3 linked regions of the Neurospora crassa OR74A genome follow. The protein of the gene in region 3 interacts with the protein of the main gene of each other region in a pairwise test. Links are inferred from orthologs where the notes say so. Each region holds a gene or a part of one and is shown on either strand. Other genes may lie near its edges.

The links.
Region 1: the proteins of NCU01318 (region 3) and NCU06738 interact in binary tests that used the Saccharomyces cerevisiae proteins (3 or more experiments, as listed by UniProt). The link is inferred for Neurospora crassa OR74A from reciprocal best matches to the Saccharomyces cerevisiae genes SEC23 and SEC31.
Region 2: the proteins of NCU01318 (region 3) and NCU06868 interact in binary tests that used the Saccharomyces cerevisiae proteins (3 or more experiments, as listed by UniProt). The link is inferred for Neurospora crassa OR74A from reciprocal best matches to the Saccharomyces cerevisiae genes SEC23 and SFB3.

Annotation. Positions count from the first base shown.
Region 1 is NC_026502.1:2,091,255-2,095,468, reverse strand, and holds the start of NCU06738 (protein transporter sec-31), read right to left. Parts: upstream 2,861-4,214; 5' UTR 2,438-2,860; coding exon 2,232-2,437; intron 2,171-2,231; coding exon 1-2,170. Other genes in the region: NCU06739 (peptidyl prolyl cis-trans isomerase Cyclophilin), read left to right, coding at 3,598-3,918, 3,993-4,109. UniProt on the Saccharomyces cerevisiae protein: Component of the coat protein complex II (COPII) which promotes the formation of transport vesicles from the endoplasmic reticulum (ER).
Region 2 is NC_026507.1:587,737-592,157, reverse strand, and holds the start of NCU06868 (Sec23/Sec24 family protein), read left to right. Parts: upstream 1-1,535; 5' UTR 1,536-1,968; coding exon 1,969-4,421. Other genes in the region: NCU06869 (cleavage and polyadenylylation specificity factor), read right to left, coding at 1-892. UniProt on the Saccharomyces cerevisiae protein: Component of the COPII coat, that covers ER-derived vesicles involved in transport from the endoplasmic reticulum to the Golgi apparatus.
Region 3 is NC_026505.1:3,643,767-3,648,130, reverse strand, and holds the start of NCU01318 (protein transporter sec-23), read left to right. Parts: upstream 1-1,474; 5' UTR 1,475-1,791; intron 1,792-1,951; 5' UTR 1,952-2,154; coding exon 2,155-2,247; intron 2,248-2,313; coding exon 2,314-2,444; intron 2,445-2,500; coding exon 2,501-3,275; intron 3,276-3,337; coding exon 3,338-4,364. Other genes in the region: NCU01319 (hypothetical protein), read right to left, coding at 20-100, 165-330. UniProt on the Saccharomyces cerevisiae protein: Component of the coat protein complex II (COPII) which promotes the formation of transport vesicles from the endoplasmic reticulum (ER).

The sequences.
Region 1 (4,214 bases), on a different chromosome or scaffold from region 3:
ACCAGCCTTCTGAGTGGCAAGCCTGACACGGTTGCGGGCTGTCTCCGCAGGAGGGTAGCTGGTAGGCAGAAGATCGAGATACTTCTGGGCAACCGACAACTGGCCATGAGCAGCCGCAATGTCAGCATACTCGAGGTATTTATCGTACAGAGCGGCCAGCTTCCAGCCCTCAGTGAGACTCGTCTCGCTGTCGTTGAACTTGGTCACATGGCGAAAGATGGTCACCTTCTCGATGAACTGCTGAAGGGACTTGGCATGGACCGAGAAGGTGGAATCACCGGCCTCCTCATTCAAGGCAGCTTGCTCAGTCTCCTGAAGCTCGTCCACCCAGAGACCGACAACCTTCTCCAGCTTCGAGCCGATCAGGTAGCAGAAAGAGGCATCCTTCCTGTTACCAGACTCCAAGATGCGGTCACCCAGGGCCTCGCAGAGGTCGGGGAACTCGGAAGGATCAGCATAGGTGCAAAGGGTAACCATGGTCTCCTTCCAGTCGGCAAGATCCGCGTTGTAGGCGATATCCCACAGGTTCTTGGCTACAACAGAGCTGATGAGCCGCAGATAGCTGGGGCTACCTCTCTTCTGTTGGAGATAAGCAGTCTGAACCTTTTCCACAAGCTCCTTGCTGCCGCAGTTGGCGATCAAGAAGGCATCCGACCATCGTTCCTCCTTCAAGCAGATCTCTACCGCCTTCTCAAACTTGCCCAGGATCAAGGCCCTGGTGATCTGATCCTCCAGGTGAGTGTTGCCCACGCTCAGAAGGTTAAAGGGGTTGTCGGTCTTGGCTCCCTTGGTAGCGGCGATCTCAGACAGGAAATCTTCGCCATCGTCGCCGTCTCCCCACATGCTTACAACACGCCTATGCTTCTTGGCCTCTCCGCCGTTAGGCTTCAGAGATGCAGAATCCTCCTGCTTCGGCTCAGGAGACATGGGTGACTCGGCCTCCTTAGCCTCCTCGACCGGCTCGTCCTTGATGAAACCAAGACGCTCAATGATCTTGGTCCGCCCATCAGACTCACTGAGGGTCTGCATCACCTGCCACTCAGCCTTCTCCTCGTCCGTCTTGGCGTTCTCGATATGCTCTTCGCAGATGCTCGCAATGTCGCCGCTTTGAATGGCTTGTTCGAACTTGTCGGTTGCGGAGCCAATGTCGGAGTCGATGGAGAAAGAGGAGATCTGCAACTTGGAAGACCTCTTCTGGCCAGCAGCTGTCTCCACCTTGTTGAAGAAGACAAGCTTGCCACCGAAGCCAAAGGAAACGCCAACGGGGCGTTCGATCCAGGCGGGTGCCCGGGGCAGAGAGAAGGAAGCCGCCTGCGGCTGGGACGCGGCCTTTGAGAAGAAATCGTCATCAGAAAGGTTGTTCTGGGCCGCGGGAGCCGCCGAGGGGTTCGTGTTCTGGAGGGTCTGGATAGCGATCTTGCCGTCAAAGGATGCTGTGGCCGACAGATTCGGGTTGTGGGGGTTGAAACGGGTGTAAAAAGTCCAGTTGGTAGCCTCAGGAAACTCTCCATAACGCTCTCCAGTCTGAGGGTTCCAAATCAGGGTCCGGTTGTCCTTGCCGCAAGAAAGAAGCAACCCTGCATCCTGCTGGCACCACGAAAGCGACAAAATGCCCTGATCGTGGCCTTGGAGCGTCTTCTCTGGCGCTTGGGAGTTGCGAAGGTTCCAGAGCAGGATGACGGGAGCGGTATCATCGGATGAAGCCGTCAGGAGCTTGGTCGAGTTCTCTGGATCCCAAGCAATGGCGCTGACAGCCTTGCGATGGTTGTTCAAGGTGAGAGATGCCTTCTTGGTCTTGAGATCCCATACGGTAACAAAGCCTCCTGCACCACCAGTGGCCAGAATGTTGGCGACCTTGGGATTCCAGGCCAAGCAATCGATATCGTGGGCGGCAGCGGTGCCGAGGCGGAAGGGAGCCGAGGTGTCGTTCACATCCCAGACGAACAGCTCGCCCTTGGCACCGGCAGTAGCGAGTACTTGGGGCCTCAGAGGGTTGAACTGTAGGGCCTTGATGGGACCAGTGTGCTTGGTGGTGCGCGAGATGAGGGCGTCCTCGCCGGCGATCAGCTTCTCGGCGTCCCATAGATCCAACGAGCCGTTTTCCATGGCGCCGGCAATAACTCCCCGGGGATGTTCGTCATTGGGCTGGCCCCATGCGATGTCGTAGAACCTATATGCGTCTCTGTTAGTGCGCCCGAAGGGTAACTATGTGTTGAAACTCTCACGCATACCTGGACTCTGCGGTAATGCTAGCTATAGGCTGGAGCTCCAGGCCCTGTTCCTGGCTGTCCAACTTGAGATCCCATAGCTCCAACTTAGTCTCGTCTGAGAAGTCGGCATCGACGGCACCTGACCGGGTACCCGTTACGAGCAGGGGGTTTGCGCCGGGCGACCAAGCGAAGGCCGCAGTCCGGGGGATCTCTCTCAACCGGACCATGATTGTTTATATGTTGTATGTGAATGTCGGCCGCGGGTGGTGATGCGGCTACGCGGGCGGTGTAAATCGGTGGGCGAAAGAGGGGAAATCAGGGGAAGCTGAAGCTGGCCGCCTTGGTCGAAGGGTGGGAGGAGAGTGCGGGTGGCGTGGATTAATTAAGGTTGGGGTGGGTGGGTGGTATTAGAGCTCTAGATCGTCAGGTCGTGCAGTTGGACATGAAAAGAAGTAACAAGACAAGACGACGACCAAAGCCCCTCCGCGATTGAGGCTGTCTGTGGTCGGTGTCGTGTCGGTCTGTTGGGAGGTTGTGATATGGATGGGATCGAAGTCACAGTGAGTAGAGGCGGGTAGTGCTGCTGTGTTGTTAGAGGCGTTCGGAGCAGTGAGCTTCCCGTCTGCCCGTCCATTGTTGCCAGATTGCGGATACATAACAGCTGCCCCCCCCGGCCCCTGACGTTGGCACCACTGGACTTTCCCTCTTGCTGGCTTCAAGGCTGATGCAACCCACACGGCACAGCTCAGGGGCAACAGCAAGATGAGAGCCCGGGCCAATCGATGTTAAACCCTAACCCTTCGTTTTCAACCTACACTACATTCGTACTGACAACTGTGACCTCTTTCCATCCACATGGTGTGGTGACTAGACTATATATACACATATCCTTCAACAATATCCAAATAGCTATATATTCTGGTGTGAATCATCAGCACCATTTCTACCTGTGCTTCCTAAAGCCCTCAAACCGAACTGTGGGAGAACCCCTTCTTGATGACGTACAAGCGCCTGGTGCATGAACTTCTAGGATGGCCCAAGCTTCCCCGCTGTCACGATAGTGGGGTCGCGACTTTTCGAACTTCAACGTTTCTCCCATGTCTCACTCGCTATTACTTAACGACATCCAGCACATGAATGATCTTTGTACATAACCTACACATCGACAGTCATTACTCACAAGAGACGTCACCAAGATAAGGATCACACTTAATTCATCAAAACAACGATATCCTTTTCTTTGCGGCAGTCATCCAGCCTCGTCAAAACACAACACACGTTAGACCTTCAACCTCGGCTGAAAGTACACAGAAGCTACAGTCACTTTCATCAAGAGGCGTCTCAAGTCTTACTTCTGTGACTGATTGTTTCCATAACAACACCGATCATGACAGACACTACGCGCTGGAAAGCCACCGTCCACATTCGCGGTCTTGCACCCGCCGTGACGACAGCCACCATTCACGACGCCTTCATTCCTTTTGGCGAGATCGCCGATATCTCGCTGCCCAAGAATGAGAAGCCCGACTCAACGGATCCGCACAGGGGCTTCGCCTATGTCGAGTACGAGGATGAAGAAGACGCTAAAGAGGCCATTGACAACATGGACCAGTCCGAGCTGTTTGGCAGAGTAATCAGGGTCTCGGCGGCAAAGATCCCTAAGAGCGCGAAAGAAGGGTTGGGATCCAAGACTGCCGTTTGGGAGCAGGTAAGTTTCGTCTATGGGGGATGATCGGGAATCACAGTTTATACCTAGACTCATACTAATGCGCTGGCTCACAGGAAGGATGGCTGGCTGAGAATGCCGTCAGTGAGGAGGATCGTTTGGCTGCTACTGCGCCTGATGACCCTATGCAGGGCCTCGAGGGGCTAGATGTGGCTGGACCGAAACCGCAATAAAATCGGTCATTGCTTGGTCCGTCTTCAGCAAATGGACTCTCCCCGGCAAGGGTCGGGGGGAGAGAAGCGAGTTTCTGTGTTGATACCCGGAAAGAAAAGCATTGC
Region 2 (4,421 bases), on a different chromosome or scaffold from region 3:
CGTGCTCGAGAAGGTATGACAGCTCTAATACTCTGGCGCTCGAGTCGACGGGGATAAGGACGGTACCACCTCTGGCAATACACAGCTTGATCGACTCCATAAGTTGTTCGTCACGCTTGGCACGCGGTAGGGCGGCGTCTGGAGTACGACTGCTGCATACCAGGGCGGTTGGCTTGCGCAACTGCTCAATCACCTGTGTACCTCCGGCACCACCATGGTTTCCACCTAGCCAAGCAGCGCCGGCAAACACGTTCTCGCGGGCCTGGTTCCAGTCGACGGCGTAGACAATCGACTCCAAGCCATGCTGAATGTGCCATATGGTTCCTCCGAGGGTGCGGCCCGAGTTGTAGGCGGTAATGGTGAGTCCGTTCAGAGGCGGGGAGAAGGGCGACGGCAGCGGTTGATGTGGCTGAGAGTACTTTAACGGCTGGATTAGAGAAAAGTACTTTGTGATCTCTTCGGGAGTGGGTGGCTGGAGGAGGAAGGTGTTTTCGGCGGAGGCGGCCTGGGAGTATCCCGAGGCATACGACACTTCGGCGAGCGAGGCCGATGATATGGTGGTGGCGGCCAGGGGCGTCGAGGCATAGAGATCCTGTGTCAGGGTACGGCCGAGATCGATGACGGGGCGCGTCGCATAGACGGGAATGCGCTGGAAGGGTGGGAAGTGCTTGCAGCAGTGGGCGTAGGCGGCCAGATGGGGGACGGTGGCGTGGGTGAGGAGGATGAGGGACAGAGTCGGTGCTTGCTTGCCGAGCTCCTTGAGCTTTTCGACGTCAAAGGTCTCGTCCCAGCCGACATCGATCAGGATCTTGACGCCGCCGTCGAGCTCCAGCAGCGACTGGGAGGCTGACGAGTCGGAGAGGGCGCCCTGGAGCGGGCAGAAGCTGAACATTTTTCTTCAATTTGTTGTCGGACTACCTGTGGTGGTAAGGGTGGGAGCCGCCCAAGCACTCCATCAGACCGGAGGGTGTCTGAATGATGATGTAGGGTGTGGATGGAAATGTTGTTGTGATGATGTTTTGTTAGTGGAGTTTGTTGTTTGTTGTTTGGCGACGGGACGTTGAAAGCGCCTGCAAGAGGCTCTGTTGACCCATGCTGGATTGGCGGTTTACAGCCGAGAGATGCGGTTACAGGGCCCAATTGGACCATTCAGGGGGGGTTCCTAGGTAGGTAGTGCAGCACTACTTGTAAGTACTGTACCTCTTGAATGTATGAAAGATAGGTCACAGCTGGCTGCCAAGTGCCCATGTGATTGGCTGGCAGCCGGCAAAGCTTCCTCAAACCAAGGCGTTGTCGAACCTGCATTCCCTTGCTTCCACTTCTAGTGTACTTAGTACCTACTTTCAGGGGCAGCTTGGGGGGGCACATGCGCTGTTGTTCAGTGGACTGACACACCCGGCGATTGACACGGCAGCATCGCGGCCCCACTTTTCCATGGCTGGGCCCCGGGCGGGCTGCCTTCCACTTGCGCATGGAAACGAGAAAAGGACAGCTCGACATCCATGGTGACACTGGACTGGAGCGGTCCCGATAGAGCCAGATAACCTCCACCGGGGGAAACAACCACTGTCGCCCACTTTATATCCTCTGCCACTCCGATCCCCAGGCCTCAACCACTAACAACAAACTTCCACTTGGATGTACCTTAGTATGCGGTAGGTGATGCTTCGACGACATAGCTAGACACATCTGCTGCTGCTGGGCATGATCAACAACAACAATAACAACAAACTCCGATAACGACCGTCCTTCCACTTCTTGCTCTTCCCGACCTTGACCCGATCTCGATCAAGCTCCTTCGTCCGAAGAGGCGCCGCCGCCCCCCTATCTTCCATAATACCATAGCACACACGTATATACGACGACAGCAGCGACCACGAACAACAACACCACTCGACGACGACGACGACGACGACGACGACGACGGTGACATACTAGTCCTAATACAACCCTTCCCACAAACCAAACATGGCCGACTACACCATGTACCACGCCCTTGGTCAGGGGGAGACCCTCGACCCCAACGATCCCAACCGCACCACACAACCGGCGCCTCCCCAGTTCCAACCGCCAGTTGCCCCGAACCCATATCACCCTGGCGCCGAGTACAATGCTCCCGGTCAGCAGCAGCAGCAGCAGCAGCAGTATGGTCAGCAGTATGGTCAGCAGTACGGCCAGCAGTACGGCCAGCAGCAGTATGGTCAGGAATACGGCCATCAACAACAACAACAACAACAACAACAATACGGTGCCCCCTCTCCCTACGGCGCCCCTCCCGCGCATTCTCCCGTGTCGCCAATGGATGATGTAGGCTTGGCTGCGCAAATGGGTGGCATGTCTTTGGGTGCTGGAGCTGGTGCCGCCGATCACCACGGAAGAAAGAAAAAGAAGGACCGTCATGCTTTCCACACAGTCGAGGCCCCCGCCGGCTCGTCCCAGCCCTTCAACGGCATGCCCCCCGCCGGGATACCTGCAACCCAGTTCCTCAACGCCGACCCCTCCCTCGCCGGCAGGATACCAGGTCCGGGCCATGGCCAGTTCCCCATGCCCGCCAGCCCAGCTTTCGGCCCCGTCCCAACCTCTGCCGCCGACTTCGCCGCAAGGGACGCTACCCAGGGTGTTGGCTCCGGTGTCTTTGCTGCCGGCGGTCCTCAGGGCGGCAAGCCTTCGCCAGACGATACCCCCAGCGTGCCCCTTTCTCGCGACGCCGTCCAGCCTTACTTCCACACCAACGTATACCCAACCTTTGAGCGCCTCGTCCCACCCCCGGCTGTCACGTCCTTCGTTGCCCTCGACCAGGGCAACTCGTCGCCCAAGTTTGCCCGTCTCACCATGACCAACCTGCCGGCAAGCGCAGAGGGTCTCAAGAGCACCGGCTTGCCCCTGGGTCTTCTTCTCCAGCCCCTGGCCGAGACCCAGCCTGGCGAGCTGCCCATCCCCGTCCTGGACTTTGGCGAACAGGGCCCGCCACGCTGCCACAGGTGCAGAGCTTACATGAACCCCTTCATGATGTTCAAGGCCGGCGGCAACAAGTTCGTCTGCAACCTTTGTACCTATGCTAATGATACCCCTCCCGAGTACTTTTGCGCTCTTAGCCCCCAGGGCGTCCGCGTTGATCGCGACCAGCGCCCCGAGCTGACCCGCGGAACCGTCGAATTTGTTGTTCCCAAGGAGTACTGGACCAAGGAACCCGTCGGCATGCGCTACCTCTTCGTTATTGATGTTACCCAAGAGTCTTACAACAAGGGCTTCCTCGAGTCTTTCTGCGAAGGCATCTTGAGTGCTCTGTACGGTGGCTCGGAGGAAGGCGAGGACCAGGACGAGACCGGAGAGCCAAAGAGGAAGATTCCCGCTGGTGCCAAGGTTGGCTTCGTCACCTTCGACCAGGAGATTCACTTCTACAATGTCAGCCCCGCGCTCGAGCAGGCTCAGATGATTGTGATGCCCGACATCGAGGACCCCTTCCTGCCCCTGAGCGATGGTCTCTTTGTGGACCCCTACGAGTCCAAGGCTGTCATTAGTTCGCTCTTGACGCGCTTGCCCCAGATGTTCTCCAACATCAAGAACCCTGAGCCAGCCCTGCTGTCCGCACTGAACTCGGCTGTTGCTGCGCTTGAGAAGACGGGCGGCAAGGTCTTTTGCTCCCTTGCGGCTTTGCCCACTTGGGGTCCTGGCCGTCTCTTTATGAGGGACGACGGCAAGCACCCAGGTGGAGAGCCTGACAAGAAGCTCTTCACTACCGAGCACCCTGGCTGGAGGAAGTTGGCCGAAAAGATGGTTTCTTTGGGTGTTGGTGCCGATTTCTTCATGGCTTCGCCATCTGGCGGCTACTTGGATATTGCTACGATTGGCCATGTCTCTTCGACAACCGGTGGCGAGACCTTCTTCTACCCCAACTTTGTCGTCCAGCGAGATAGCACCAAGCTCTCCTTGGAGATCCACCACGCAGTCAGGCGCGAGACGGGCTACGCGGCCCTTATGAAGGTCCGCTGCTCCAACGGCCTCCAAGTGAACGCCTACCACGGCAACTTCATCCAGCACACCTTTGGCGCCGACCTCGAAATTGGCGTCATCGACGCTGACAAGGCTCTGGCCGTCACCTTTGGCTACGACGGCAAGCTCGACTCCAAGCTGGACGCACACTTCCAAGCCGCCTTGCTCTACACCACCGCTTCGGGCCAGCGTCGCGTGCGCTGCATCAACGTCATCGCCGGCGTCTCTGACCTAGCGCGCGACTGCATGAAGTATATCGACCAGGACGCCATCGTCTCGATCCTGGCCAAGGAAGCCAGCACAAAGCTCTCCACCACCAGCGCCAACCTCAAGGAAGTCCGCTCCTCTCTCACGGAAAAGACCATCGACATCCTTGCCCTCTACCGCAAGAACCACCTCGCCGTGCCTCACCCGCCCCAACAGCTCGT
Region 3 (4,364 bases):
AATGCGTGGAGAGTCTTACAGTATTGAAAGGTGATGTCAGTACCGCTGTAGTACGAGACCTCACCGCCGTCAATGTACACGCGCCCGTTTAAAACCGCGGCTTTGGTTCGATTAGCCAGATGGTCATGATGCACTGAGAAAAAGACAATGACGGCAATGCTCACACGATTGATAGCCTCTGCGCAGAAATGTCGAGGGACTGATAGCACCGTTAACCTGTCGTGGAAGGATGATTGATTCATCTGCCTTGGGTAGGGTGATAGTGCTACCCGCCTGGCAAATCCACGGCTGTATTACACAGCACAGAAGGGAAGTCGACCTCCTGACCATGATGACTGATTTCAGAGGGCAACAAGAGAGAGAAGAGAAGAATGGGAGAGGAGGAAGAAATTTCTGAGCAAAATGCTACGCGTGTCAGCTTTCTACCCACGAAAAGGGCTAGCTCCCCTGAAGCGCCATCGAGACATGGTGGTAGGTGATGATCCTATAGGATCCGACTGTAATTATAAACGAGGTCGGGAGAGGTGAGCCACGGTAATATCACCGTGGACTGTCAATGGTGCCTGTTGACTGCTACCTGGCGGCTGCTCGGCCCCTTTCGTATCTTAGCGTACCCAAGGGTTGCATCAAGTCAGCACTACAGTAGGAGATAAGGCTGATCCCTACTCGTCGAGTAACAAGTAAAAGTGAGCCTGCTCAGAACAGAGAGGGTGATCACCGGAGAGCGGGCGTTTGTGCGATGCAGCACAGCCGCGAGTTTACCATCTGCTGGCTTGACTGACTGAGCCTGCGAGCGAGCGAGTTGTTTGATTGAGTTCCCCCGCGACAGGCGGATTCTTCAGGATAACCCGACGGTAACACAAAAAGGTATTTTGGTCGTGCTCGACACAGTGGGCTGAAACAGGATGGGGCGAGCAGGGTACGGTTCTTGAAGAACACCAAATGCTGGCATGAGTGGTAGGATCGACACAAGACCGAGCATTAGGACAGAGATGCGAGCAGGCTAATCAGAGCTAGCCAAAACTCAACGGCCAGCCGGCCACAGGTCGGAATCATGACTGGAGCCCAAGGGTAACGGAATCAAAGCTTGACGTCTCCCGAGGCGTCGATGGTGAGGGCAAGCATACGATGCTGAATAGGTACCTATTCAATTTCCATGTCGAGATGTCGCGATTCGCCAATGTTGTTTTTCATTCATGATCCGACGCCGCGGGAACATCACTGCACCGGGAAAACACTTGGTACATCCGACAATTTCGTGCTGACGGAACAAAGGTTGCAACTTGCAGCTTGGAGATGCAGTTTACCACGGCGGCCGCGGTGGCACGGTGAGGTAAGTGGTGATTGGCGTCAGCTCGTCGGCTACGCACCAGCTGGCAAGCAGCCTCCCGTCGTCTGTCAGCAGAGCTGCCCCCTGCCTTTCGATGGAGGGGAACGAGGTACCTGTCCTTTTCAACAACTGGAGGGGAGCAAATGACAACAGAGCCGCAAATCAGAAATTGATACTATCGCCTGTTGCAGTCGGCTTCCATTGCAGTAGAAGCGATTGGGGTATTTCTGAACATTTTGATCCCATCACCTTGTCGCAAACGACTTGACCGATTGCAGAAGAGCAGCGCGTCGTTAACTCTGTGATCTTGCGCAGGGCTTCCTGGACGACAGTCAACACTTTAAAGTGGACCTTGAATTTTCAGGAGCGTCGAAAAAGAGGTTCTTCAGTTCAGTTGTTGCATCTTCCTGGCGACACACCACAACTGGGATCCCGTCCATACCTTATTGCCTCCCCCCGCGGTATGTACTCGCACGGAGCCCGCTTTTCCCCCTAGCTTCCACATCTAGCCTCAGGTCCCGCCTGCCGCAAGACAGCTGCTGTGGACTGTGTGGTGGACGGTGGATGTCTCGAGTGTCTCGTGCGTTCCAGGTCTCGGAGCTAATGACACCTTGCACGTAGCCGCCCGACGACGTTGCCCGTTGCCCGCCGCCCGCCCCGTACCTATCTCTGGAGCTACCACCGCGTAGACGACGGATCATCCACATTAATTCCCTTAATCTTCTAATCCAACAAACCGCCGACACCACCATCACCCCTCTCCAGCTGTTCCTCTCTATCCCCGACTGCGACCATCGACCGAGGACGCCGCCGCCGACATCAACATGGATTACGAAGCCCTCAAGGAGCAATGGGGCGAGGTCGAGGACCGTGATGGCGTTCGTCTGAGCTGGAATGTCTTCCCCAGCACCCGCATGGTCAGTTCCGCTCTTTCGCATACTTGCTACTTCGCGTCACCCCTTTATCGCTGACCCTTTCTTCAGGAAGCTTCGAGACTCGTCGTCCCCATCGGCGCCCTTTATACCCCTCTCAAGGAGAAGCCCGACACGCCTCTGCTGCAGTTCGACCCCGTCAGTTGCAAGCAGCCCTGCCGCTCCGTGTTAAACCCCTACTGGTGAGCCATCTTCGTCGCCCCGACTTGTCGCGCCCATTGCTGATACCCTCGCCCAGTCAAGTCGATGTGCGCGCCCGCCTGTGGATCTGCCCCTTCTGTCTCTCGAGGAATCCTCTCCCGCCACACTACAAGGACATCACCGCAAATGCGATTCCACCCGAGCTGCACCCTTCCAACACTACCATCGAGTACAGGCTCTCGCGGCCCGCCCCCGCCCCTCCGATCTTCCTCTATGTCGTCGATACGTGCCAGGAGGAGGACAGCTTGGCTGCTCTCAAGGAGTCGCTCATCATGAGCTTGAGCCTATTGCCCGAGCACGCCCTTGTCGGCCTGATTACATACGGCACCATGGCCCAGGTCCACGAGATTGGCTATACCGAGTGCCCTAAATCATATGTTTTCCGCGGTAACAAGGAGTACGCGGCCAAGCAGGTCCAGGAGATGCTTGGGCTCGTACAACCTGCCATGCGTCCGGGCATGCCTATGCAACAGCCTGGCAGGCCCTTCCCGGCCGGCCCTGCCTCAAGATTCTTGCTTCCGGTCTCTCAGGCCGAGTTCCAGTTGACCAAGGCCATTGAGCAGCTTCAGAAGGATCCCTGGCCTGTTGCCGGTAACCTCAGAGCCTTGCGCTGCACCGGTGTTGCGTTGTCCGTAGCTGTTGGCCTGCTCGAAACGTCGTTCCAGAATGCCGGTGGTCGCATTATGCTCTTTGCTGGTGGTCCGGCCACTGAGGGACCTGGCATGGTTGTTGGCCCCGAGCTGAGGGAACCGATCCGCTCCCATCACGATATCGACCGTGACAACATCAAGTATTACAAGAAGGCACTCAAGGTACGTTCATCTTCAAGTTGTGGTGCAGGAAACAGTCTGTGTCATGCTAACATTTATTATAGTTCTACGACAACCTCGCTAAGCGAACGGCGCACAACGGCCACACTATTGACATTTTTGCCGGCTGTCTTGATCAAGTTGGTCTACTTGAAATGAAGGGTCTGTGCAACTCGACGGGTGGCCACATGATTCTGACGGACAGCTTCACCTCATCCATGTTCAAGCAGTCATTCGTCCGCATTTTCGAAAAGGACGCGGATGACAATCTGCTCATGGGCTTCAATGCGGTTTTGGAAGTACTTACAACGAAGGAACTCAAGGTTACTGGGTTGATTGGTCATGCAGTCTCTCTCAACAAAAAATCGACGTCCGTCGGCGAAACCGAGTGCGGCATAGGTAACACTTGCACGTGGAAGATGTGCGGTATCGACCCCAGCTCCAGCTACGGTATCTACTTCGAAATCGCCAACCAAGGCGGCCCGTCCCAGAACATGCAGAGTCCCCAAAAGGGAATGATGCAGTTCTTGACTTATTACCAGCACTCGTCTGGCCACTTCCACCTTCGGGTGACCACCATTGCCCGAAACCTCAGCGGCCCCGCCGGAGACCCGGCCATCGCGCAGTCATTTGACCAGGAGGCAGCAGCCGTGCTTATGTCGCGTATCGCTGTTTTCAAGGCGGAGGTTGACGATGGGCCTGATGTGCTCCGGTGGGTTGACCGCATGCTCATCAGGCTCTGCGCCAGATTTGCCGATTACCGCAAGGACGACCCGTCATCGTTCCGCTTGGAAAAGAACTTCACGCTGTACCCACAGTTCATGTTCCACTTGCGTAGGAGTCAGTTCTTGCAAGTCTTTAACAACTCTCCCGATGAGACCGCATTCTATCGGCACGTTCTCAACCATGAGGATGTTAGTAACTCGCTCATCATGATTCAACCAACGCTCGACTCCTACACCTTCGACCAAGAAGGCGGTGTCCCCGTTCTGCTCGACTCTACCTCCATTCAGCCTACCCACATCCTCCTGCTCGATACCTTCTTCCACATTCTGATCTTCCATGGTGAGACGATTGCGGAATGGAGAAAGG